4 linked regions of the Arabidopsis thaliana genome follow. The protein of the gene in region 1 interacts with the protein of each later gene in a pairwise test. Each region holds a gene or a part of one and is shown in the gene's direction. Other genes may lie near its edges.

Region 1 (4,487 bases):
CGCGGATCAAAACAGAGTACATTCCAGAGACGATTAATCTCGAGAGCTATATAGATGAAGCAAGAAGTCATTTCATTCGTAACTATTCTTCCTCTCATTTCACATCTTCAATGACTAGCGGGTATCGTCCTCAGGAGGTAGATGAAGGAGGAGGAAATATCTCATTTGCAGAGGAAATCGCTAGAAGGAAAAGAAGAGGAAGTATGAGTAACAATGTTGTTGATGAACTGACTCAGTACTTATCAGAGTCTATAGTTCCAATGCAGACTGATGTGCTTGATTGGTGGAAGGTAAACAGTGGAAGATACCCGCGACTTTCCAACATGGCTCGGGATTTCCTTGCGGTTCAGGCGACTTCTGCTGCACCGGAAGAGATCTTTTGTGGTAAAGGAGAAGAGATTGATAAGCAGAAGTATTGCATGCCTCATGATAGCACACAATCTGTTATTTGTATCAGATCATGGATTGAAGCTGGTATGAAACTGAAGTACAAGTGTAGTGAGATTGACTATGAACGACTAATGGAGTTAGCTGCCACCGTGGCCGCTGATAATTCTGCCGGAGGTTTAGAAAAAATTCAACAACATAGGTGAGATTATTTTTTAGTATTTGTACTAAAGAACTACTGTAATTTAGTTGTCATACTTTTAGCATGAATCATTGAATTTAGAGTTGGGTTGATGTAAACCAAGCTGGTTAGCTTTCTTCATAACCGTATGTACTTTCATATCATATTAGAGAGAAAAAAAAACACAATGTTGACTAATTAATGGGTTCTGTCTAACTAGAAAAGTGGAAATTAGTTGTACGAAAAAAGAAAATAGCTTATCTCTTTCTTTGTACCTTAGATTTTTCCTTGGTATAATGGATATCGATATGTCCAAGTCCAGTGTTTGAGTGACCAAGTTGTTGCTTTAATTTAATCTAGTTCAAATACGACTACTTTTGTGTTGTACCTCTCTACCTTACCTTCCTCGAATTTTCAATTCGTGTGCTAGTTTGCCAATTGTTTCTTTATAATTTTGTCGTCTCTATGATTGTTTAAGCATATTTAAATATTTGAGAGAAAAAAATACTAAGAGTTCAGTCGTATTTTGAAAAGTCCTCGCACTCCAAGTTTTAAAGTTGAATTCATTCTGTCATGGAAACGTACCTTTGTGGTTTTTCATTTCGATAGACATTTTTTAACTCTTCTGATAAATTCAAAATGTTTTTTTACATTGGTTAAAATTTGTTGCCAATTTCAATAAAGCTTTTTTTTTACTCGTTATAAAATTAAAAACTTGCTGAGAAATTATAGTTTCATATATACTTTGGACCGACGGTCAATACCAAAAAACTAAAATAAAATTTTGGTCAAGAATCGGGTCAATACAAAATATCTCCAAAGATCGAAGAGAAAGTTCAACAGGATTTTAATTTAATTGGTGTTCCGGACCTGCCGGCGCCGTATTATAATTCTTCAATAAATTTTATATTTTGGATTGCATAATCAAAACTATTTGCATAGCAGACATAGATTTCAAAATAAATTGATACGTAATTAGCTATTTACATAGGCAAGACAATTTTACGTTACATATTTTGCATGCTTGATATTCATTCTTTTTTTTTAGCAACCTTTGCTATATTCATTCTATTTTTTCCCCTTTTTTTGCTACTATCAATATCATATCAGATGTGGCGGTTCTTATGCATGGGATTATGAAAAATGATATTATATAATAGATGTCTTCGTAGTATTTTTTTATTGACAATCAAAATAAAATAAATTAGTTTAAGAAAGATCAAAAGTCTAGTGTCAAAATGTCCACTGACAAAAGTTAGCAGTTTTTCTTTTATGTAATAATCCGATTATAAAAAATTGCGTTAAGGAATCATAATGAGCCATGTGTCAGTCATATTTAAACGACGACGTTGGCAGCAGCCACACGTACAGCCTCAGGCAAGCATAAATAGAGATGGGCTCTTTCCTATAAGTTTCCCACTTTGCAAAGTGTAACACAAACAGTTCTCTTTAGAGAAAAAAAGATTCTCTCTATAAAACCTTCTCTTTGTGTCTCTCTTTGTGGTAAGAAAACAGAGCAACTAGATCTCTCTTCTCCTCTGCTCGTTCAATGTTATAACGATCTCGAGTATCACAAAAGAACAAGATGTCTATTCGAAGAATCTACCGATGTCTGAATTCTTTAATCAAAAGATCTTGTGCTCAATCTCTATGATCATACGCCCCATTTCACACTTTGTTTCACCTCTCAGTTTTTTTTTTTGTGTTTTTTTGTCCCTCTTTGTTTCACTTGAGAACAACCCCCTTTGAACTCGATCAAGAAAGCTAAGTTTGAAGAATCAAGAATGGTGCGGACACCGTGTTGCAAAGCTGAACTAGGGTTAAAGAAAGGAGCTTGGACTCCCGAGGAAGATCAGAAGCTTCTCTCTTACCTTAACCGCCACGGTGAAGGTGGATGGCGAACTCTCCCCGAAAAAGCTGGTATGTATTATTTTTTATTATGTTTATTCCGTCATGTTTGAATATTCAATGTTGGACCTTTATTGGTCATTATTGCTCAATTATTTTACTTAAATAATTCTTCTAATTGGATAGGACTCAAGAGATGCGGCAAAAGCTGCAGACTGAGATGGGCCAATTATCTTAGACCTGACATCAAAAGAGGAGAGTTCACTGAAGACGAAGAACGTTCAATCATCTCTCTTCACGCCCTTCACGGCAACAAGTTAGTCTCTCTACCTCTACATTTTATACTTATTTTTTGTTTGCATTAACATTTACTAATATTGTAATCTTATATGTGGTTTTAATCAGATGGTCTGCTATAGCTCGTGGACTACCAGGAAGAACCGATAACGAGATCAAGAACTACTGGAACACTCATATCAAAAAACGTTTGATCAAGAAAGGTATTGATCCAGTTACACACAAGGGCATAACCTCCGGTACCGACAAATCAGAAAACCTCCCGGAGAAACAAAATGTTAATCTGACAACTAGTGACCATGATCTTGATAATGACAAGGCGAAGAAGAACAACAAGAATTTTGGATTATCATCGGCTAGTTTCTTGAACAAAGTAGCTAATAGGTTCGGAAAGAGAATCAATCAGAGTGTTCTGTCTGAGATTATCGGAAGTGGAGGCCCACTTGCTTCTACTAGTCACACTACTAATACTACAACTACAAGTGTTTCCGTTGACTCTGAATCAGTTAAGTCAACGAGTTCTTCCTTCGCACCAACCTCGAATCTTCTCTGCCATGGGACCGTTGCAACAACACCAGTTTCATCGAACTTTGACGTTGATGGTAACGTTAATCTGACGTGTTCTTCGTCCACGTTCTCTGATTCCTCCGTTAACAATCCTCTAATGTACTGCGATAATTTCGTTGGTAATAACAACGTTGATGATGAGGATACTATCGGGTTCTCCACATTTCTGAATGATGAAGATTTCATGATGTTGGAGGAGTCTTGTGTTGAAAACACTGCGTTCATGAAAGAACTTACGAGGTTTCTTCACGAGGATGAAAACGACGTCGTTGATGTGACGCCGGTCTATGAACGTCAAGACTTGTTTGACGAAATTGATAACTATTTTGGATGAGTGAAACTCATAATCGATGAATCCCACGTGACCATGTCAATATGATGTCTATGGATATGTTACCTTGATGATGTTGATGGTAATAATAATAAATAATGATGGTGATGATGACCATGCATGAATCATGAATGTAGTTCGTGTTGTCACATATGCTTGTGTTTTTGTGTTTTTTTTTTTTGGTCTGAAGTGTGTTGTTTCGTTGTAAATGGATTATAAATGGTGATGTAATAATTATAATGTTAACGAGTTGTTAACTTTAGTACTTTTATTGTGTTGGTTATCAGAATTTGTATCCATCCGAATATGAGATTGCTTTATTTTGAAAAATCATTCATTAGCTGCTGCTGCTGCTAACTACTAGTACCATTGCTATTTTAAATTTTAATTGGCAGTATTCCACTATTAGGTCATCTTCATCTGTAAGATACTTTAAAAGGTTTTAAAATAAAATAAAAAATTACTGTAATTTAATTTTGTAATTATTTTTTTTTAAAAAAAATATTCAATTATAAGCAAACACTTATAGAAATAGTCTTTCACTGATTATTCCAAAATTTCTCAAGAAACGTTTCTTCATTTTTTGTCATTCTCTCTCCTCATTTATTAATTATTTATATTATCTTTATCAAAAGAAACTCTAAAAATTGTATGGATGGAGATGCTCTGGTTTATTTTATGAGTTAGGGCTAATAGATTGAGCAGATTGGTAAAGAAATATATCCTCAACCAGTTTTGTATATTAAAAAAAAAACCAACGATTAACTTATTTTGTGACTTAAATCTTTCATTCTCTAATGTATATAAAATTCACCCTATCAACATACGAATAATATTCAGCAATGAGACCCACATAAATTTAAAGCAAGCGAGAGG
Region 2 (7,889 bases), on another chromosome or scaffold:
AGCTATGTCCCTAATCGCAATTTCTCCTTGTGCGATTTCTCGCTCACCACGTAGATACTCGCCAAACAGAACAACCGATTCTTTTTTCTCGGTCTCCTTTAGTTTCTCAATCTCTTGCTCAAATTCTTGAAGTTTCAAACTCGTAGTCCTAAGCTCTTCTTCACACTGGACATATTTCTTCATCAATTCTTCATAACTCATTTGTTTCTCCGGGGATAAGTCATGGCTATCCATTGACCCTGGTGATACGAGGTGATGGTTAAAAGATGAGTAAAAGGCCTCCGTGTCCGAATCTAAATCGGAATAAGAAGAGTTAGAATCATGATTGCCAGAAACATCAGAACTTCCTTGGTCAAAGTTGGAAGCTACTGTATCAGACTTTGGAGTTACAGGAGGTGAAGATCCATTGTGATCTGAAACTTGACAATTGATATGTCTAATAAGATTTCTACGTTTGAACGGAAACGCACACAACCAAAATAAGACATGAATGAATTATACGGTTATACCTGTTGAGATGTCCACAAAGGAATTCGAATTATGTGGCCACTCATCTGGGACCTCAACTGTTGTAAAATCCATTACACTTAAACAACAAAAAGCGAATCAACTTAAAAATGATCAAGCAAAAAAAAATCAAAGAAACGTAAACATAGAATGATGTAACAGAAAAACCCTAAAAATACAGAAGATATACGAGATATAAAAACTGGTAAGATTTTTATTTACTTTTTTTTTTTTTATACTCCTAAGATTTAGCTATAACTAAACGTATTTATATTTTTTGACCAAAAAAAAAAAAAACGTATTTATATTTATCTCTACAATAATTTCGATTAAAAATATCTAACAAAAAAAAAAGTTGTGATAATAATCAGTGGAAAACTATCATGAAGAGACAAGCTAATGTTCTTTAATTGAAATCTTAGAAAATAAAAAAACTAGGGTTGCGTAAATTTTAAGACTTTCTTATGTCACAGAACTGAACTTTTTTCACTACATGTAAACAGAAATTATAACTCATTTGCAACGGTGAAGAAACATAGACAAAGACCCTCCATAAATCTCAGAAAAACAGAGCAAGTAACTCAGATCATAAGATCTACAAAACACATCAACGGAACAAACAAATATCAAACCCTGAAATCTGATTCACATAGGACCAAATAAACATGAGATTTCACTGACCTTGAAAATTGATATGATCGAGGGAACAAAAGAGCAGATTTACAGGAAAAGTGAAGGAGAAACAAAGGAAGGTTTAAGTAGAGGATTGCTAGGGTACGAGAGTTACGAAGCAGAAGGTGGAAAGGTTTAAAGGGACGACAAAGAGGAGGGAAGATTTGTCGGATAGCGAAGAGAAAGTGGCGCTCTTTGGGATTCAAATGTTTGCCATTTTCTTCTTTTGTCTATCTGACAGTCTGTTCTTTGCTGCACTAGTGGCCACACATCTCCACATGCACCACCAGTTATCAAAGTTTGACCTATTAATTATTGGGTTCGGTTCGATTCAATTTTCTCTCGTAAATAACGTAAACCGAACATATACCAATTTTGTCTGCAAAGTCCAACAAACCCATTTTCTCGATTCTGTTGGGCTTGATGATACTAGAGTTGGACCTTTATTTTTTCAGCCCGCTGGTTTTAGCCTATTTTGATATACTAGTAAGTAAAGCATCACTATCAATATATTTTGATTTATTCATTGGACTAATCCGTTGATTAATTAATATTTTGAAGTTTTATTTTTGTCGGCAAATACTTTTTAAGTTTTATCTGTAAGAAAGTTAGTGACGATGAATATCCTTTACCCCACTACTTGTGATTTGTTGTGTTCTTCACACTTCTATTTTAGTTATATCACTATCAAATATCAATTACTATTTTGATTTAGTCACTAATTCGATGATAATATATTTCTAAGGATATTTTAAAGGTTTATCGGCCGTTTTTTCACTTTTTTTACAGCCACTGTAAAACTGTAACTAGAAAAAAATCGACTGTGGAAGTTGTCGGTGGTGGTGGTGGTTGTTGCTTGGTTGGATTATGATTTGTGACAAATATATTAATATTTTAAAAATCTGGAAGAGTGACGAGTAGAGGAGACAAATAGCTTGCTCTTTGCATCTTCTTAGCCATCCCAAGATTCTCCTCTTCGTCTTCCTTATAAACTATCTCTCTGTAGAGAAGAAAGCTTGGATCCAGATTGAGAGAGATTCAGAGAGTCACATCACCACACTCCATCTTCAGATCTCATGGTAAAGCTTTTAACTCTTCTTACACTCATGATCCATTCTCAGATTTGACTTCCTTTACTCGGATCTCCTCAGATCTAATCGTAGTTTCTGTTTTTGATAATTCCGATCAGATTTGAACTATTCCGACGTTTCGGTGTTGGAAGCAACTAAGTGACAAATGGAATCCGAAGGAGAAACCGCGGTATGCTTTTTTGACTCTTGCTTCATCATTATACTTACCTTTATCGAAATCAGGAATTATATGTACTGAAATTGATTGATTTGGGTGTTGAATTGTGTATTGGAGAGATCTGATTTCAAATTTTCTGTTGAGGTTTCTAATTTTGGCTTCATTGATTCGACTTGATTTGTAGGGAAAGCCGATGAAGAACATTGTTCCGCAGACTTGCCAGATCTGTAGTGACAATGTTGGCAAGACTGTTGATGGAGATCGTTTTGTGGCTTGTGATATTTGTTCATTCCCAGTTTGTCGGCCTTGCTACGAGTATGAGAGGAAAGATGGGAATCAATCTTGTCCTCAGTGCAAAACCAGATACAAGAGGCTCAAAGGTTCTCTTTTGATCCTTCTGAAGTATACTGTCTTCATTGTTCATCGATAGTTTATCAGTATGTTTTGAATTTTGGATCAGATTGGTATTTATAGCAATTTGCTAATTTCTGATTCTAGGTAGTCCTGCTATTCCTGGTGATAAAGACGAGGATGGCTTAGCTGATGAAGGTACTGTTGAGTTCAACTACCCTCAGAAGGAGAAAATTTCAGAGCGGATGCTTGGTTGGCATCTTACTCGTGGGAAGGGAGAGGAAATGGGGGAACCCCAGTATGATAAAGAGGTCTCTCACAATCATCTTCCTCGTCTCACGAGCAGACAAGATGTAAGGCATTGCTGTTCATTCTTCCCTCTTAAGCATTCGCATCCTCACGCAATTTAGTTTTGGAATCTGATTTTGTCATTTGCTTATTTACAGACTTCAGGAGAGTTTTCTGCTGCCTCACCTGAACGCCTCTCTGTATCTTCTACTATCGCTGGGGGAAAGCGCCTTCCCTATTCATCAGATGTCAATCAATCACGTAAATATCCTTTATTTCTAACTCTCTCGCCAACACATATATTTGTACCTAGGCTTCTCTTTTATGTCAAAACTCTAAACAATAAAATCTGTTGTTGTCATTCACGCTGCAGCAAATAGAAGGATTGTGGATCCTGTTGGACTCGGGAATGTAGCTTGGAAGGAGAGAGTTGATGGCTGGAAAATGAAGCAAGAGAAGAATACTGGTCCTGTCAGCACGCAGGCTGCTTCTGAAAGAGGTGGAGTAGATATTGATGCCAGCACAGATATCCTAGCAGATGAGGCTCTGCTGTGAGTTCTTGTTTTGTAATCTTGTTTGTTCTGTCGTGGTGTACCGAGCGTTTTTCCTATTAAGCAATGTCCTGATACTCATTTTCCAATTCTTTATTTATTGTACAGGAATGACGAAGCGAGGCAGCCTCTGTCAAGGAAAGTTTCAATTCCTTCATCACGGATCAATCCTTACAGAATGGTTATTATGCTGCGGCTTGTTATCCTTTGTCTCTTCTTGCATTACCGTATAACAAACCCAGTGCCAAATGCCTTTGCTCTATGGCTGGTCTCTGTGATATGTGAGATCTGGTTTGCCTTATCCTGGATTTTGGATCAGTTTCCCAAGTGGTTTCCTGTGAACCGTGAAACCTACCTCGACAGGCTTGCTTTAAGGTAAGTTCTATTTCCCCATTCTTCTGAAGCAATTACTCAAAGGATTGTTTGCCTATACTGTTTCCCATTTTAATTTGATCATGGTCAATTTTTGGGACAGATATGATCGTGAAGGTGAGCCATCACAGTTAGCTGCTGTTGACATTTTCGTGAGTACTGTTGACCCCTTGAAGGAGCCACCCCTTGTGACAGCCAACACAGTGCTCTCTATTCTGGCTGTTGACTACCCAGTTGACAAGGTGTCCTGTTATGTTTCTGATGATGGTGCTGCTATGTTATCATTTGAATCACTTGCAGAAACATCAGAGTTTGCTCGTAAATGGGTACCATTTTGCAAGAAATATAGCATAGAGCCTCGTGCACCAGAATGGTACTTTGCTGCGAAAATAGATTACTTGAAGGATAAAGTTCAGACATCATTTGTCAAAGATCGTAGAGCTATGAAGGTAAGTTTGTAGTTTTAGTCATCTAGTCACCCTCACTTTGATTTTAGTGTATGCTATATTGACCTTTTATTTTCTTTCAGAGGGAATATGAGGAATTTAAAATCCGAATCAATGCACTTGTTTCCAAAGCCCTAAAATGTCCTGAAGAAGGGTGGGTTATGCAAGATGGCACACCGTGGCCTGGAAATAATACAAGGGACCATCCAGGAATGATCCAGGTAAGAAATTGGTTTTAACTATGGAATCGAGAATGCTCTCTCTTTCTCTCTAGAAGTTCATTATTGAAGTACCATTTGCTGAATGCAGGTCTTCTTAGGGCAAAATGGTGGACTTGATGCAGAGGGCAATGAGCTCCCGCGTTTGGTATATGTTTCTCGAGAAAAGCGACCAGGATTCCAGCACCACAAAAAGGCTGGTGCTATGAATGCACTGGTAAGTTTCTGATCTTGGATTTTTGACTTCTTCATTCTGACCAATTTGTTAGTCTAATCTGGGTACTTTTCAAATGAATAGGTGAGAGTTTCAGCAGTTCTTACCAATGGACCTTTCATCTTGAATCTTGATTGTGATCATTACATAAATAACAGCAAAGCCTTAAGAGAAGCAATGTGCTTCCTGATGGACCCAAACCTCGGGAAGCAAGTTTGTTATGTTCAGTTCCCACAAAGATTTGATGGTATCGATAAGAACGATAGATATGCTAATCGTAATACCGTGTTCTTTGATGTAAGTCACACTTACCTATACTTGCGTCTAATTTTCTTGTTCTTTCAAATTGCTTTTAGACACGAATATACATTAAACTCACAGTTTCTTGAGTTTGTCGTAATTTTTCCATGATATGTTTTCCAGATTAACTTGAGAGGTTTAGATGGGATTCAAGGACCTGTATATGTCGGAACTGGATGTGTTTTCAACAGAACAGCATTATACGGTTATGAACCTCCAATAAAAGTAAAACACAAGAAGCCAAGTCTTTTATCTAAGCTCTGTGGTGGATCAAGAAAGAAGAATTCCAAAGCTAAGAAAGAGTCGGACAAAAAGAAATCAGGCAGGCATACTGACTCAACTGTTCCTGTATTCAACCTCGATGACATAGAAGAGGGAGTTGAAGGTACAACTGTTTTTATTTCTTCTTTGGTTTCCGTTATACCCATATGTTGCTGTTTGAAATATTGATCCAGGGGAGGGGATTATTTATAGTTGACAGTTGTCTAAATAGTTTCCATACTAGGTATCTCATCATGTCTTAACTATTTGGCATTTGTGAAACTTAGGTGCTGGTTTTGATGATGAAAAGGCGCTCTTAATGTCGCAAATGAGCCTGGAGAAGCGATTTGGACAGTCTGCTGTTTTTGTTGCTTCTACCCTAATGGAAAATGGTGGTGTTCCTCCTTCAGCAACTCCAGAAAACCTTCTCAAAGAGGCTATCCATGTCATTAGTTGTGGTTATGAGGATAAGTCAGATTGGGGAATGGAGGTATAATCTCATTTGAACTCCTACATGAATCTGCATTGTTCTGACATATCCACTTTGGCATTCACTTTGTTTATATTTTCCGCTGTCTTTCTTCAGATTGGATGGATCTATGGTTCTGTGACAGAAGATATTCTGACTGGGTTCAAAATGCATGCCCGTGGATGGCGATCCATTTACTGCATGCCTAAGCTTCCAGCTTTCAAGGGTTCTGCTCCTATCAATCTTTCAGATCGTCTGAACCAAGTGCTGAGGTGGGCTTTAGGTTCAGTTGAGATTCTCTTCAGTCGGCATTGTCCTATATGGTATGGTTACAATGGGAGGCTAAAATTTCTTGAGAGGTTTGCGTATGTGAACACCACCATCTACCCTATCACCTCCATTCCTCTTCTCATGTATTGTACATTGCCAGCCGTTTGTCTCTTCACCAACCAGTTTATTATTCCTCAGGTTTGACACCTCTCTCTGTCTATCTATCTCTATCTCTATCTCTATCTCTAGAACAAACCTTAATTACGTTCTGTTTAACTGAAACCATGTTGTGTTTGTCATCTATTTACGGTTCCAAATCCTGATCAGCTGGTTCTATTGTTCCTCTTTTGCAGATTAGTAACATTGCAAGTATATGGTTTCTGTCTCTCTTTCTCTCCATTTTCGCCACGGGTATACTAGAAATGAGGTGGAGTGGCGTAGGCATAGACGAATGGTGGAGAAACGAGCAGTTTTGGGTCATTGGTGGAGTATCCGCTCATTTATTCGCTGTGTTTCAAGGTATCCTCAAAGTCCTTGCCGGTATTGACACAAACTTCACAGTTACCTCAAAAGCTTCAGATGAAGACGGAGACTTTGCTGAGCTCTACTTGTTCAAATGGACAACACTTCTGATTCCGCCAACGACGCTGCTCATTGTAAACTTAGTGGGAGTTGTTGCAGGAGTCTCTTATGCTATCAACAGTGGATACCAATCATGGGGACCACTCTTTGGTAAGTTGTTCTTTGCCTTCTGGGTGATTGTTCACTTGTACCCTTTCCTCAAGGGTTTGATGGGTCGACAGAACCGGACTCCTACCATTGTTGTGGTCTGGTCTGTTCTCTTGGCTTCTATCTTCTCGTTGTTGTGGGTTAGGATTGATCCCTTCACTAGCCGAGTCACTGGCCCGGACATTCTGGAATGTGGAATCAACTGTTGAGAAGCGAGCAAATATTTACCTGTTTTGAGGGTTAAAAAAAACACAGAATTTAAATTATTTTTCATTGTTTTATTTGTTCACTTTTTTACTTTTGTTGTGTGTATCTGTCTGTTCGTTCTTCTGTCTTGGTGTCATAAATTTATGTGTAGAATATATCTTACTCTAGTTACTTTGGAAAGTTATAATTAAAGTGAAAGCGAATATTTTTTTGTTTCTGTAGTTAAAGCAGTGGTTATGATTTTTCAATTTTCATTAGTGAAAGCAGTTACGTTTGATCATAAGCACTAAACTACGATGCAAAGAGAAATTATTTTTAACTGGGATTCAAAAGTAATAAGATAGAAGTAGAATTGATCAAAGAAACTTTTGGTCGGAATGAGGAATCATTCAGAGACATTGGAAGTAGCCTCTGAGGATGTTCTGTTTTGCTGTAACTGCTGAGACTGATCCAATCTCCTCACATCTTCAATCATCCTCGCGACCTCTTCCATCTTTGGCCTCGATTCTGGATTCCTTGCAACACAGGCCAACGCTAGCTGAAGCATCTGAACCATCTCCTCTTCAATGTTCTGAAACTTCAAGAGCTCCACATCGAAAACCTCTGCAGTCCACTCTTCTCTCACAACAGACCGAACCCATCTCGGAAGATCAATGACGACACGCTCATCCTCGAGACCAGGCTGAGTTAAAGGTGTCTTCCCGGTTAGCATTTCGAGAATCACCACACCAAAGCTATAAACGTCTGATCTTTGACTGACTCTCCTCGTCTCAATAACTTCAGGAG
Region 3 (5,006 bases), on another chromosome or scaffold:
GGTAACGAAGACGAGGAGGAGACACGCGACGATGGAGCCAAGGCATTGAGCAATCCAGTAAAAGAAACCGGTTATTACTGTGATGTTGCCACCGACGGCGAGACCGAGTGTCACGGCGGGGTTAAGGTGTCCGCCGGAGATGTTGGCGGCTATGGAAACACCAACGAAAAGGGCAAAGGCGTGAGCCACAGCGACAGCGACAAGACCAGCGGGGTCCAAGGCTGCATCGGATGTGAGCTTGGCAAAAGCAAGAGCAGAGCCAACGCCAGCAAACACAAAGAGAAGAGTTGCGATAAATTCAGACAAGTAAGCCTTAAGAGATGCTACACTAAAGGAGTCACCCACACTTCCTATCTCAATCTTCACCATTTTGATCCGACAAAATAACTCTGTTTTTCGACTTTGGTTGATTACAAGTTATTTCTATTTGTGTGGTTTTGGGCATACTAATGCTTGACTTTATATATAGCAAAGAGCCAAACGAGGTAATGAAGTTGTTGGTCCCACTCTACGTGGCCTGTCACAATTGGATGCCGCCCAAACCGCCAATTATTTAGACTATTCATTTTCTTTTGAATTTTGAGGGTTAGTGACATCGAAGATGATTAAAGACAACCAATTGGTATAATGCTATGAAAATGATGGATAAGGTATTTCATAATATGTGAAGATAAGAGTGTTCTGTTGTCATGTTAATATCCTGCATTTAAACTAATGTTGTCTCACACCAATTATGATAGATGGTCGTATTCTTTTATATCTATATATATTTTTTTTGGTTACAATTTGTATTTTTTAGTTTGGGAGGTGCTAAACGCCTAAAATATTAATAGGGATTAGGAGTTAATTCATGTACCACCGCTGCTTTGTTTGGAGTTGGTGTGTAAGAGATATTGGCATATACATGTAATAAAATTGCAACAAACAGAAAACTTAAGATCTTAGAAAAGTGATCCAAAGTAGTGGTGACATTAAATAAAAATTTGCAGAGAGGATGGTTGTTTATAATACTTTCTCCGCCCCATGAATTTTAAAAGTAATATTTTTAGTATATGGTTTATGGATAGTTTTTTATTATCATGAATTTAATTTGCAGTATAGAACAACGAAGTGGAATGCTCAATCCTAGATTAAACCGATCCCTGACAAATGTTTTTCCACCCACTACCGCTTAAAAGTTGAAAATTATTCCATCCCAGTAAACTGATATTATGAACCAAACGTCCAAACTCAAATAATCGATCTGAAAATGAACTATATTTTTTTTAAAATTATGAATTCATTTTTCCTATTCAAAATATTGAATTCGAATCCAAACTAAACAAACAGAAAGAAAAACCTGATTTTAAATCCAATTTTGTTTTCAAGTTAAATAAACATTTGATTAAAACTTGAAGTCGAACCAATACCAATACGAAACCGTACCAAACCATCTATGGTACAAATACTATCATTCATAAACCAAAATACCAAAAAAACCTAACAGAAAAAAATTATAAAGTGGGCCTAAGCCCATATAAATATCCCAATGGATTCCTTTTGATCTGATGGTCCAAAAGTCCAATCCGTCAATTGCCTAACACACAAAAGCCTCTATCTATTAGTTAGTGAGTGACATGTCTCTTCTCTAATTTTATCCTTAAGACACTTTCCATTTTGTTTAGCCAACCAATCATCTTCATTACACTAATCAGTAGTCAATAGTCATTTCAACAATAAATCTTCTAACTTTTACCACAGTCACGTCAAACAAAAGTTGTTTTCTTTTACCTCTTGGTCATTTAATTTTCTTTTAACGGAACTCTAGCCAGTAAATTACACTAAATTTTAACGTACGTTAATTTAAAAGTAAAAAACCTTTCGCGTCTTTTTGTTTAAGTTCAATATTAGCCACACGATCCAGAAAATTCGACACGTGTCACTATGGATTAAGCGGCATCAGTATCCATCTTTATTTTCTCTCCAAATATTTATTTAATTTTGGGCTTTACTTAAACCAGACTCATTTCATTTGCCGAGGAAAGCGAATATAATTTATCGGGCATTTCTCTCCCAATCTGCTTCACTCGCCAAACCTCGTTTCTTCGCCGGAACCCTAGGTCACCTCCGTCAGTTTGAATTTTCCGGTGAGTTTAACTTCTTCGCTAGCGTTTCAATTTATCATTTTAAGAAAGTTCACTCTTTTAGGTTTTCGTGTGCCCTTGAATTTTGAGAAGGAAGAGATTTTATAATTGACGCGTATGGTTTTGTTGTTGGTGGAGCAGTAGTAGATGAACGTGCGATTAGGTAACAGTTGAGGTCTGACGGCCAGGTTTTCTTGTCACCGAATGGAGGGAGGTAGCGTCTCCATACACTCTTGTGTCGGTACTTTTCGCTTTCCTACTGTTTTACTCCACTCGACAAGAAAATGACCAGAGTCGCTTCTTTAAATATGTTTCACGGTTGTTGTGTTATGCTTTTGTTTCTTTTGGTTGTTTGATGTTTATATATGTCTCTGATTTCAGGAATAAACTCATGGATTATGATGACAGTGACTTTCAAAACCAGAATCTCCATTTAGCTGGTGAAGCCAACAACAAATTTCCACCAGTTTTACAGCCTTATGCTCTTCCAAAGTTTGATTTTGATGATACACTCAACACGCATCTGAGGTTTGATAGTTTAGGTGAATCTGAAGCTTTTCTTGGTATTGAGGGTAACGAAGATAATAACTGGATTGAGGATTTCTCTCGTGGAAGTAGTGGTATAGTGTTTAGTTCAGGTGCAACGGAGTCCTGTGCCATTTCTAGGCACAATAATGTTTGGTCTGAGGCTACTTCGTCGGAATCTGTTGCAATGCTTTTGAATTCAGTTGGACAGGACGAAGTTATTGTAAGAGAGGATACTATCAAGAAATCTGACACTTCTCATGAACTAGGCTGCACAATGGAAACAGTAGAGCCTGGTCAGACATCCCATGAAAGAAGTCTTTCCAAAGAGGAAACGGTGAACTTACAACCCAACCCCTCTGTGGATGATACTCCAGGAGAGTCCTCTGTGGTAAAGACAGATGATGGACAGGAGCAGGTTCTGGTTAAAGATGACTCACCAACGGCTGTAGAAGAGGCATCTGTGGAGGAAAAGAATTCCATCTTGACTTCTAATACCGCGACGGTAGAGGCTATAGATACTACTGATCTTGGTAAAATAGGAACTGAGACGACGGATAATCTTCTTGACCAAACAGAAGAGAAAGCCAATGTAGAATCAAGGATGGAAGATGATTGTAGCGATGGGAATGTACAGACTATTATTACTTGTAGCGGTGAGTTGAATAATCAGAGCACTTTACTTCCAGAGACTTCCAATGATGAAAATGTTATCAGCGACCACATTCAAAGTAGTTATAACCGCAATGATCTAACTGCAGATGCACGGTCAATTTTGGTTGAAGGTCATTCTGATAGCCATATAGACTCAGCTTCCGAAGTTGAAAAAGTGGAAGCTGAAAATATTGGCAAAACTGCAAAGCCTGATTTGAAGGAGATAGAGCTATCTGATGTCACAGTACTAGAAAGAGGGGACCAAGCTCCCTCTACTCTTGAGGTAGGTGGACAAGATGTTTCTGGGACCGAATGCCAAGATCTCCTTGTCAGCACTGTTCATACTAGCGTAGCTGTTGAAGCGTCTTTGGAACTTGCTGGGGAATTGACAACTATAACAAACAGTGTTTCCATTGAGAAGCCCGAGTTGCTTAGTCATCAACATATGGAAGTTATTACAAGTGAACATGAGTCTACTTTTCAGATAGAGACTGAGACATATCCGCAGATACACGTATTTGAAACTTCAGAGAGTGTTTATATTTCAACGATGGACTCAATGGTTGAAGCTAGAGAAGGTGGTGTGTCTAAGAAGAGTGACAATGAAGGTAGTGCTCGCACTTCTAATCTCGAGCAAAGCATGGAACTGCCTGTCAATGCCAATGATAGAGATCAAGATGTCAAGAACTCTCAGATCCTATCTGAAAGCGTTGTGTCTGGTTCTGTTGGCTATGTTTCAGGAGGCTCTACTTCAGAGTTGGCGGAGTCAGAATCTCAATCTGACAGCATTCCAACAGACAAGTCAGGTAAACATATTTTCTAATCCTTTTAATATACTCTATTTTCATACTGTGTACTTTTACGTTTTGCCTTCTCGTTCTCTAAGTAGCCCTTGTTCAGCTTTTTTTTTTGCTTCTGTCGGGGTCACCTTTCCACTGTAAATGTATATATCATGATTACTTCAAGTAATTTACTTGTTTCCCCCTAAATGTTTTCCACAGAGACTATGATTGACAGTTCTCTCAATCTCGAAGAATTACAACCTCTAAGTCAAGATGGAGCACCTGCTGTCAGTCTCACATCTTCAATAGATTTACATATGGTAAAGACATCCTCTGATGACAGTGACCAAGGCAGTTACTCTGAAACCAAGAAGGTTTATGGTGAACCTGAAAATGGTCAAACCGTTCCACCTGTGGATGCAAGTTGTTCAGGGAGTCAGATGGACCAAGAAGCTAGGAAGCGTGCTGAAGGTACTAAGCAAAGTACATACTCTGTTGAAGGCTGTCCTCGCTCTGAAGGGTCAAAGGATGCAGTAGATGCTGATGGTGTTGGACAAGTTTTGCAGCAGCAGTCTGAGGAATTAATTTTTGAAGAGAATGTAGTAACAGAAGCTGTAAAAGCTCCTGGTAACGATTTTTCTATTTTGGGCCATAGTAATTGCACTAGCTTGTTTCTTTGTATATTGCCCCGCCATGGAGACCTTACCAGATTTGTTTACCTTTCGATGGGTTGATTCATGTTGTAGCAACATTTTTTTCTTTTGCTGTCTTACTCCGCAGAGACTCTGTCAGTTCTGGACAAGGATAACAAAAATGAAATGCCTATTACTAGCTCCTTGCCTATTCTTGGGAGTGAAGCTGGAAAAGATGGCCAGGAAGAGGATAATACTGCTGCTTCTGGTGGGATTATGGCAGCTGGGAC
Region 4 (5,219 bases), on another chromosome or scaffold:
TATGATGAATACTAAATGTCTCAAACCATCACAGTTTATAACATGAAATTCTATTATGACACTCTGAATTTGAAATATATTTTCTATGCCACCTAAATAACTCTTTGTTGAATATAATTTTTATTTTCTTAATAGGATATGCAAAAATTAATATTTTATCACTTTGTAAGATCTAATCAAGAGTAATTAAGAGTTAATCAGCAGTTAACTTATGAATTAAATCAAGTGTTAACATGCATTTCAAAAGATTAAAATCACAAAAGAGAAAAATGTTTTCTTAAAAAAAAATAAAAAAATCTTATCGTCTTTTATTGTCCCAAAGAAGATAACGAACTCTGTACAAAAGCTTCTAACCGTCGTTTAAATTTTCCATAACTTTGTAAGGAACAAATGAGGTAAAATTTTAGTTTACTTAAAATTTAGTTATGTTACACGACATCAGAATAAACTTACAGAGACAAACAAAACGTGTAAGGCCTTGAACCAAGATAACTACGTCTAGTTCCAAAACCGCTTTTGGCTTTATTCAATTTCCTTGTTTATCATAGTATCGTAGCATCTTTGTTATTCAGTTTGAATGATAATAGTATTGTGGTTAAGAGTATAGTAAAACATCTACAACAATACTCCGTAATTAGTATTTTGATAGATTAATATATTTTGGTCTTAAATTACTATTTTTGAATCAATTAGTAACTTTATAAATTAATCAAATCTTATATATTTTCGACATTACTAACATAGTATATTGTTTTTATTGTTATATATGTCATCAATCACAAAAAGAAGAACTATTTGTATTGAAGGCCACCACTTATCTCTTATTGTGTTTATATCTCAACTAGTTATTATGTTAAAGGTAAAACTCTTATCATATAGAGCCCAAACTGTTCTAATAACAACAATTAAAGATAAATCTAAATTTTGATAATTTGACTAACATCTATGTTGTATCTCATATGCAAAAATATATGTTTGTGATTTCACTATGCAAAATTAACATCTATGTTAAAACTTTCTATATGAAAATATTATAGTTTTTTAATAATACTTACACATCCAACATTCAAACAATGTGATTTCACTCCATAGCGTTTTTTGTTATTTTGAGATGTTAATTTTGTAATGCAACCTAAACATCTTCATCTTCTCAAAAAATCTTGGTATACTTTAAATATGTTGTTTCTGCTTACTTTTTTTTTGGTTTATAAACATTTGATTATTCTTGTTTCAGTTGATGAAATCTCTAACTTGTTTTTCTTTTTGATCATGTTATAGAGTTGTAGTTCCACTTGAGAATATGTCTGCTATGCAAATTACATATCATCTTTTTCAATGGCTTACATATAATTGTTGTAAAATTCATGAATAATATCACTTGATTATTTAATGTTATAGAAGATGGATTAAAATGTTTAAAACTTTTCAAGATTTTTTTTGAAATTTCAATAATATGACCAAATTGTTTTTTTTTTTGAATTTGTTTGGAATATTCCATAACAACCGGACCTTGGAAAATAAATACATGCATGTTTGTTTGTGTATGATGAATACATAGACATGTTTGTGGTTGTGGCTATCATGAGTCCCTTCGTTAATAAACAATGATGTAGGACCAATAGCTATTCAATAACCAACAAAACGATCACACACCAAGAAACTCTTCTTCACTCTCTCTAATTCTCATTCTCATTTCTCACCATACAATTTTTCATCTCCCTCTCTTTATCCTTTTCTAGATTTTCTTTTTACCCTTCAATCACTTATCTCTATCTATCTACCTTTCATGCTCTTTCACCACTCCTTCCATAAAAATCTATCAATAATCACTTCCTCTCTCTCTCTCTCTCTCTTATACAACACTCAAGAAGCGAGACACAGAGGAGAGAGTTAGTCTTCTTCTCTGTTTTTGTCTCTTTGGCTATATATATTCAAACATTGTGTGAACAGAACACAAATCAACACAACACACACAACTTTGTGTTCTTTAAGTTTTGTTTCAGAGATCAATGGCCGGGACTGGATTGTTTGCTGAGATTCTTGATGGAGAAGTATACAAATACTACGCTGATGGTGAGTGGAAAACTTCTTCCTCAGGTAAGAGTGTTGCCATCATGAACCCGGCCACGAGGAAGACACAGTACAAGGTTCAAGGTATATCTCATTAAGTTTCATTCTTTCTTGATTTCAGATATTGGCAAAAATTTGGAGATATATACTAGAAATATTGATGAATTTTGGTAGATTGATTACTTGAACAAGTTTTGATAACAACCTAAGAATCTCCGAAGATAAACAGAGAAGATAAAAACAGAGGATTTCAAGATAAGACAATGTTCTGTTTTTCTGTTTAACACAGCATGCACGCAAGAAGAAGTGAACGCGGTGATGGAACTGGCGAAATCAGCTCAGAAATCGTGGGCGAAAACTCCTCTTTGGAAAAGAGCTGAGCTTCTTCACAAGGCTGCAGCAATCCTTAAGGACAACAAAGCTCCCATGGCTGAGTCTCTTGTTAAAGAAATCGCTAAACCCGCCAAAGATTCTGTTACTGAGGTCTCACCATATCCCTCTCTATGCATCAACTTCATACGAAGCTCTTTTTGTTTTGTGTTTTTCAAGATCTTTAATGTTTGATATTGGTGAAAGGTTGTGAGGTCTGGAGATTTGATCTCTTATTGTGCTGAAGAAGGTGTTAGGATCTTAGGTGAAGGGAAGTTTCTTCTCTCCGATAGCTTCCCCGGTAATGACCGTACTAAGTACTGCCTCACTTCCAAGGTATAATCTCTTAGATTCATATGTATGCGTCAATAGTTGAAGTTGTTAACAAATGTTTTGATCAAATTATGTGTTTGTTTTCTGATCTGAAGATTCCACTCGGTGTGGTTTTGGCTATTCCTCCATTCAATTATCCAGTTAATCTCGCTGTATCGAAGATCGCTCCTGCTTTGATCGCCGGAAACTCCCTTGTCCTCAAACCTCCAACTCAAGTAACTAAGAAGCTTTTAACACTCTTTTAAAATGAATGTTTTGAAAATGCTTTTTAACGGTCAGTTTCTTTAGGGAGCTGTTTCTTGCCTTCACATGGTACATTGCTTTCACTTAGCCGGTTTCCCAAAAGGTCTTATCAGCTGCATCACCGGAAAAGGATCTGAGATCGGCGATTTCCTCACTATGCACCCTGCTGTTAACTGCATTAGGTATATATATATACACACATTCAACAAAACAGGTTATGTTCATTTTAACTGCTAATATTTCTGATAACCGGTTTCAGTTTCACGGGTGGTGATACCGGAATCTCAATCTCAAAGAAAGCTGGTATGATCCCTCTTCAAATGGAACTTGGAGGTAAAGATGCATGCATTGTTCTAGATGATGCTGATCTTGATTTAGTTGCTTCCAATATCATCAAAGGAGGATTCTCTTACAGGTATTATGCTATAGCTAGCCTAGTTACAATGAATGTAGTTAACCAATTGTGATTATGTGTTAACCGGTTTTATCTACCTTAACCAGCGGGCAGAGATGCACTGCGGTTAAGGTAGTCCTAGTGATGGAATCAGTAGCGGATGAGCTTGTTGAGAAAGTGAAAGCTAAAGTGGCCAAACTCACGGTGGGACCGCCCGAAGAGAACTCCGATATCACGGCAGTGGTGTCGGAATCTTCAGCTAATTTCATTGAAGGATTGGTGATGGATGCTAAGGAGAAAGGAGCAACGTTTTGTCAAGAGTATAAAAGAGAGGGTAACTTGATTTGGCCGTTGCTTTTGGATAATGTTAGACCGGACATGAGGATCGCGTGGGAGGAACCATTCGGTCCTGTTGTGCCGGTCTTGAGGATCAATTCTGTTGAAGAAGGGATTAATCATTGCAATGCAAGCAACTTTGGCCTTCAGGTTTGGCTATATGGATTTGGTTTAGTCCGGTTTATATGGTTTGCATTTAACCAGAGCTAACACAATAATTGCATTTGAAGGGATGTGTATTCACTAAAGACATCAACAAGGCAATACTGATCAGTGATGCAATGGAGACAGGAACCGTTCAGATCAACTCTGCGCCAGCTCGTGGACCGGACCACTTCCCTTTCCAGGTAAACCATCGATGTCTAGACCCTTTTTTGCCTCCGTTATGACCGGTTTGATTAACTCGGTTTTGGATTGGAATAAACAGGGACTTAAGGACAGTGGAATAGGGTCACAAGGTGTGACAAATAGCATCAATTTGATGACTAAAGTGAAGACCACTGTCATTAACTTGCCTACACCTTCTTACTCTATGGGTTAGTTTCCCTTTTTTTTTATGTTCTTCATCTTAGAATCAAAATCAATCATGTCATGTTTGTATTGGATTCAATCGAATACTGCGAATAAAGGGAGTGATTAGCGTAACTATTATGGTTTGTAATCTCTATGTAACCAATAAGAGGATATTATGAAAGATGAGTGAGAGGTTTGGTTGTGTTGTGTTATAACAGGGGACGGTTTCATCTCACGCCTGTGATTCGAGCACACAAAACTGAAAACTTCTTTTGATAATTGGAGTTTTATCATTTAAAATAATTTTGATTTTGGTTAATGGTAATAATTGAAAATATATTCCATTTTAAGATAATCGTTTGAGACCAATCTCATTGATTTCTCCGTTGGAATTTTCCAAAAATTTACTACAATAAAGTATTCTTTCAGATGGTATCGAAAGTACAAACTGGTCAGATGAATACTTTTTGTATGGAGTATTAATGTGGTAAAAAAAAGTATCAAGTTCTGTCTGAATATAATTAACCGAATAAGAATAACTGTGGGAGTAAAGAAAAAATAAATGTGGGAGTACGTACCATTTACGGATTTACCATTTTAAGACATTCACACTAATAAATTATAAGTCGATTTATGGTAATTGAATGGTAATTGCAGTCGAGATTAAAGTTAAACAGAATAGTTTTTTTTTTTCAAACAACTGTAGATTTTTAGTTGACAATGACAGCGGAAGTTCAAGAAGAGATAATCGAAGAGATCTAAAAAAAAACAAATTCAGTTTCCAATTGATGGAAGAAAGAAAGTCCACTCTCAAGTCTCAGTTCTCATCCTTGCTTGCATTAGACATTGAGACATTGATATTTTATTTTTAAAATATGATCACCAGATTATTAGGTGGAAGAATATCCTAAGAAGTTGTGGAAGTGTAATGCTCTATTTTCAGTTTAAATAATTTAGTTAC

Evidence for each region.
Region 2: the proteins of MYB51 (region 1) and CEV1 interact in a two-hybrid assay, tested with the Arabidopsis thaliana proteins (one study listed by BioGRID).
Region 3: the proteins of MYB51 (region 1) and G2484-1 interact in a two-hybrid assay, tested with the Arabidopsis thaliana proteins (one study listed by BioGRID).
Region 4: the proteins of MYB51 (region 1) and ALDH11A3 interact in a two-hybrid assay, tested with the Arabidopsis thaliana proteins (one study listed by BioGRID).

What each region holds. Positions count from the first base shown.
Region 1 is NC_003070.9:6,387,413-6,391,899, forward strand, and holds MYB51 (myb domain protein 51), read left to right. Parts: upstream 1-1,986; 5' UTR 1,987-2,352; coding exon 2,353-2,488; intron 2,489-2,602; coding exon 2,603-2,732; intron 2,733-2,821; coding exon 2,822-3,614; 3' UTR 3,615-3,974; downstream 3,975-4,487. Other genes in the region: AT1G18560 (BED zinc finger and hAT dimerization domain-containing protein), read left to right, coding at 1-593. UniProt on the Arabidopsis thaliana protein: Transcription factor positively regulating indolic glucosinolate biosynthetic pathway genes.
Region 2 is NC_003076.8:1,529,617-1,537,505, reverse strand, and holds CEV1 (Cellulose synthase family protein), read left to right. Parts: upstream 1-1,947; 5' UTR 1,948-2,258; intron 2,259-2,368; 5' UTR 2,369-2,415; coding exon 2,416-2,439; intron 2,440-2,611; coding exon 2,612-2,807; intron 2,808-2,925; coding exon 2,926-3,131; intron 3,132-3,224; coding exon 3,225-3,327; intron 3,328-3,439; coding exon 3,440-3,617; intron 3,618-3,725; coding exon 3,726-3,992; intron 3,993-4,092; coding exon 4,093-4,438; intron 4,439-4,518; coding exon 4,519-4,656; intron 4,657-4,744; coding exon 4,745-4,870; intron 4,871-4,951; coding exon 4,952-5,164; intron 5,165-5,290; coding exon 5,291-5,552; intron 5,553-5,715; coding exon 5,716-5,918; intron 5,919-6,014; coding exon 6,015-6,365; intron 6,366-6,520; coding exon 6,521-7,105; 3' UTR 7,106-7,374; downstream 7,375-7,889. Other genes in the region: AT5G05180 (myosin heavy chain, striated protein), read right to left, coding at 1-413, 510-582; RUL1 (Leucine-rich repeat protein kinase family protein), read right to left, coding at 7,489-7,889. UniProt on the Arabidopsis thaliana protein: Catalytic subunit of cellulose synthase terminal complexes ('rosettes'), required for beta-1,4-glucan microfibril crystallization, a major mechanism of the cell wall formation. Involved in the primary cell wall formation, especially in roots.
Region 3 is NC_003075.7:9,694,681-9,699,686, reverse strand, and holds the start of G2484-1 (G2484-1 protein), read left to right. Parts: upstream 1-1,980; 5' UTR 1,981-2,126; intron 2,127-2,264; 5' UTR 2,265-2,337; exon of another isoform or gene 2,338-2,364; intron 2,365-2,504; 5' UTR 2,505-2,514; coding exon 2,515-4,108; intron 4,109-4,303; coding exon 4,304-4,711; intron 4,712-4,864; coding exon 4,865-5,006. Other genes in the region: TIP2;2 (tonoplast intrinsic protein 2;2), read right to left, coding at 1-369. UniProt on the Arabidopsis thaliana protein: Under salt stress, appears to prevent the accumulation of reactive oxygen species (ROS) in roots and required for the maintenance of cell wall integrity (cellulose, pectin and lignin composition) by interacting with importin alpha (e.g.
Region 4 is NC_003071.7:10,326,392-10,331,610, reverse strand, and holds ALDH11A3 (aldehyde dehydrogenase 11A3), read left to right. Parts: upstream 1-1,602; 5' UTR 1,603-1,786; coding exon 1,787-1,889; exon of another isoform or gene 1,890-1,992; coding exon 1,993-2,154; intron 2,155-2,359; coding exon 2,360-2,553; intron 2,554-2,646; coding exon 2,647-2,775; intron 2,776-2,867; coding exon 2,868-2,987; intron 2,988-3,060; coding exon 3,061-3,197; intron 3,198-3,274; coding exon 3,275-3,430; intron 3,431-3,516; coding exon 3,517-3,895; intron 3,896-3,975; coding exon 3,976-4,092; intron 4,093-4,172; coding exon 4,173-4,286; 3' UTR 4,287-4,476; coding exon of another isoform or gene 4,477-4,502; 3' UTR 4,503-4,686; downstream 4,687-5,219. UniProt on the Arabidopsis thaliana protein: Important as a means of generating NADPH for biosynthetic reactions.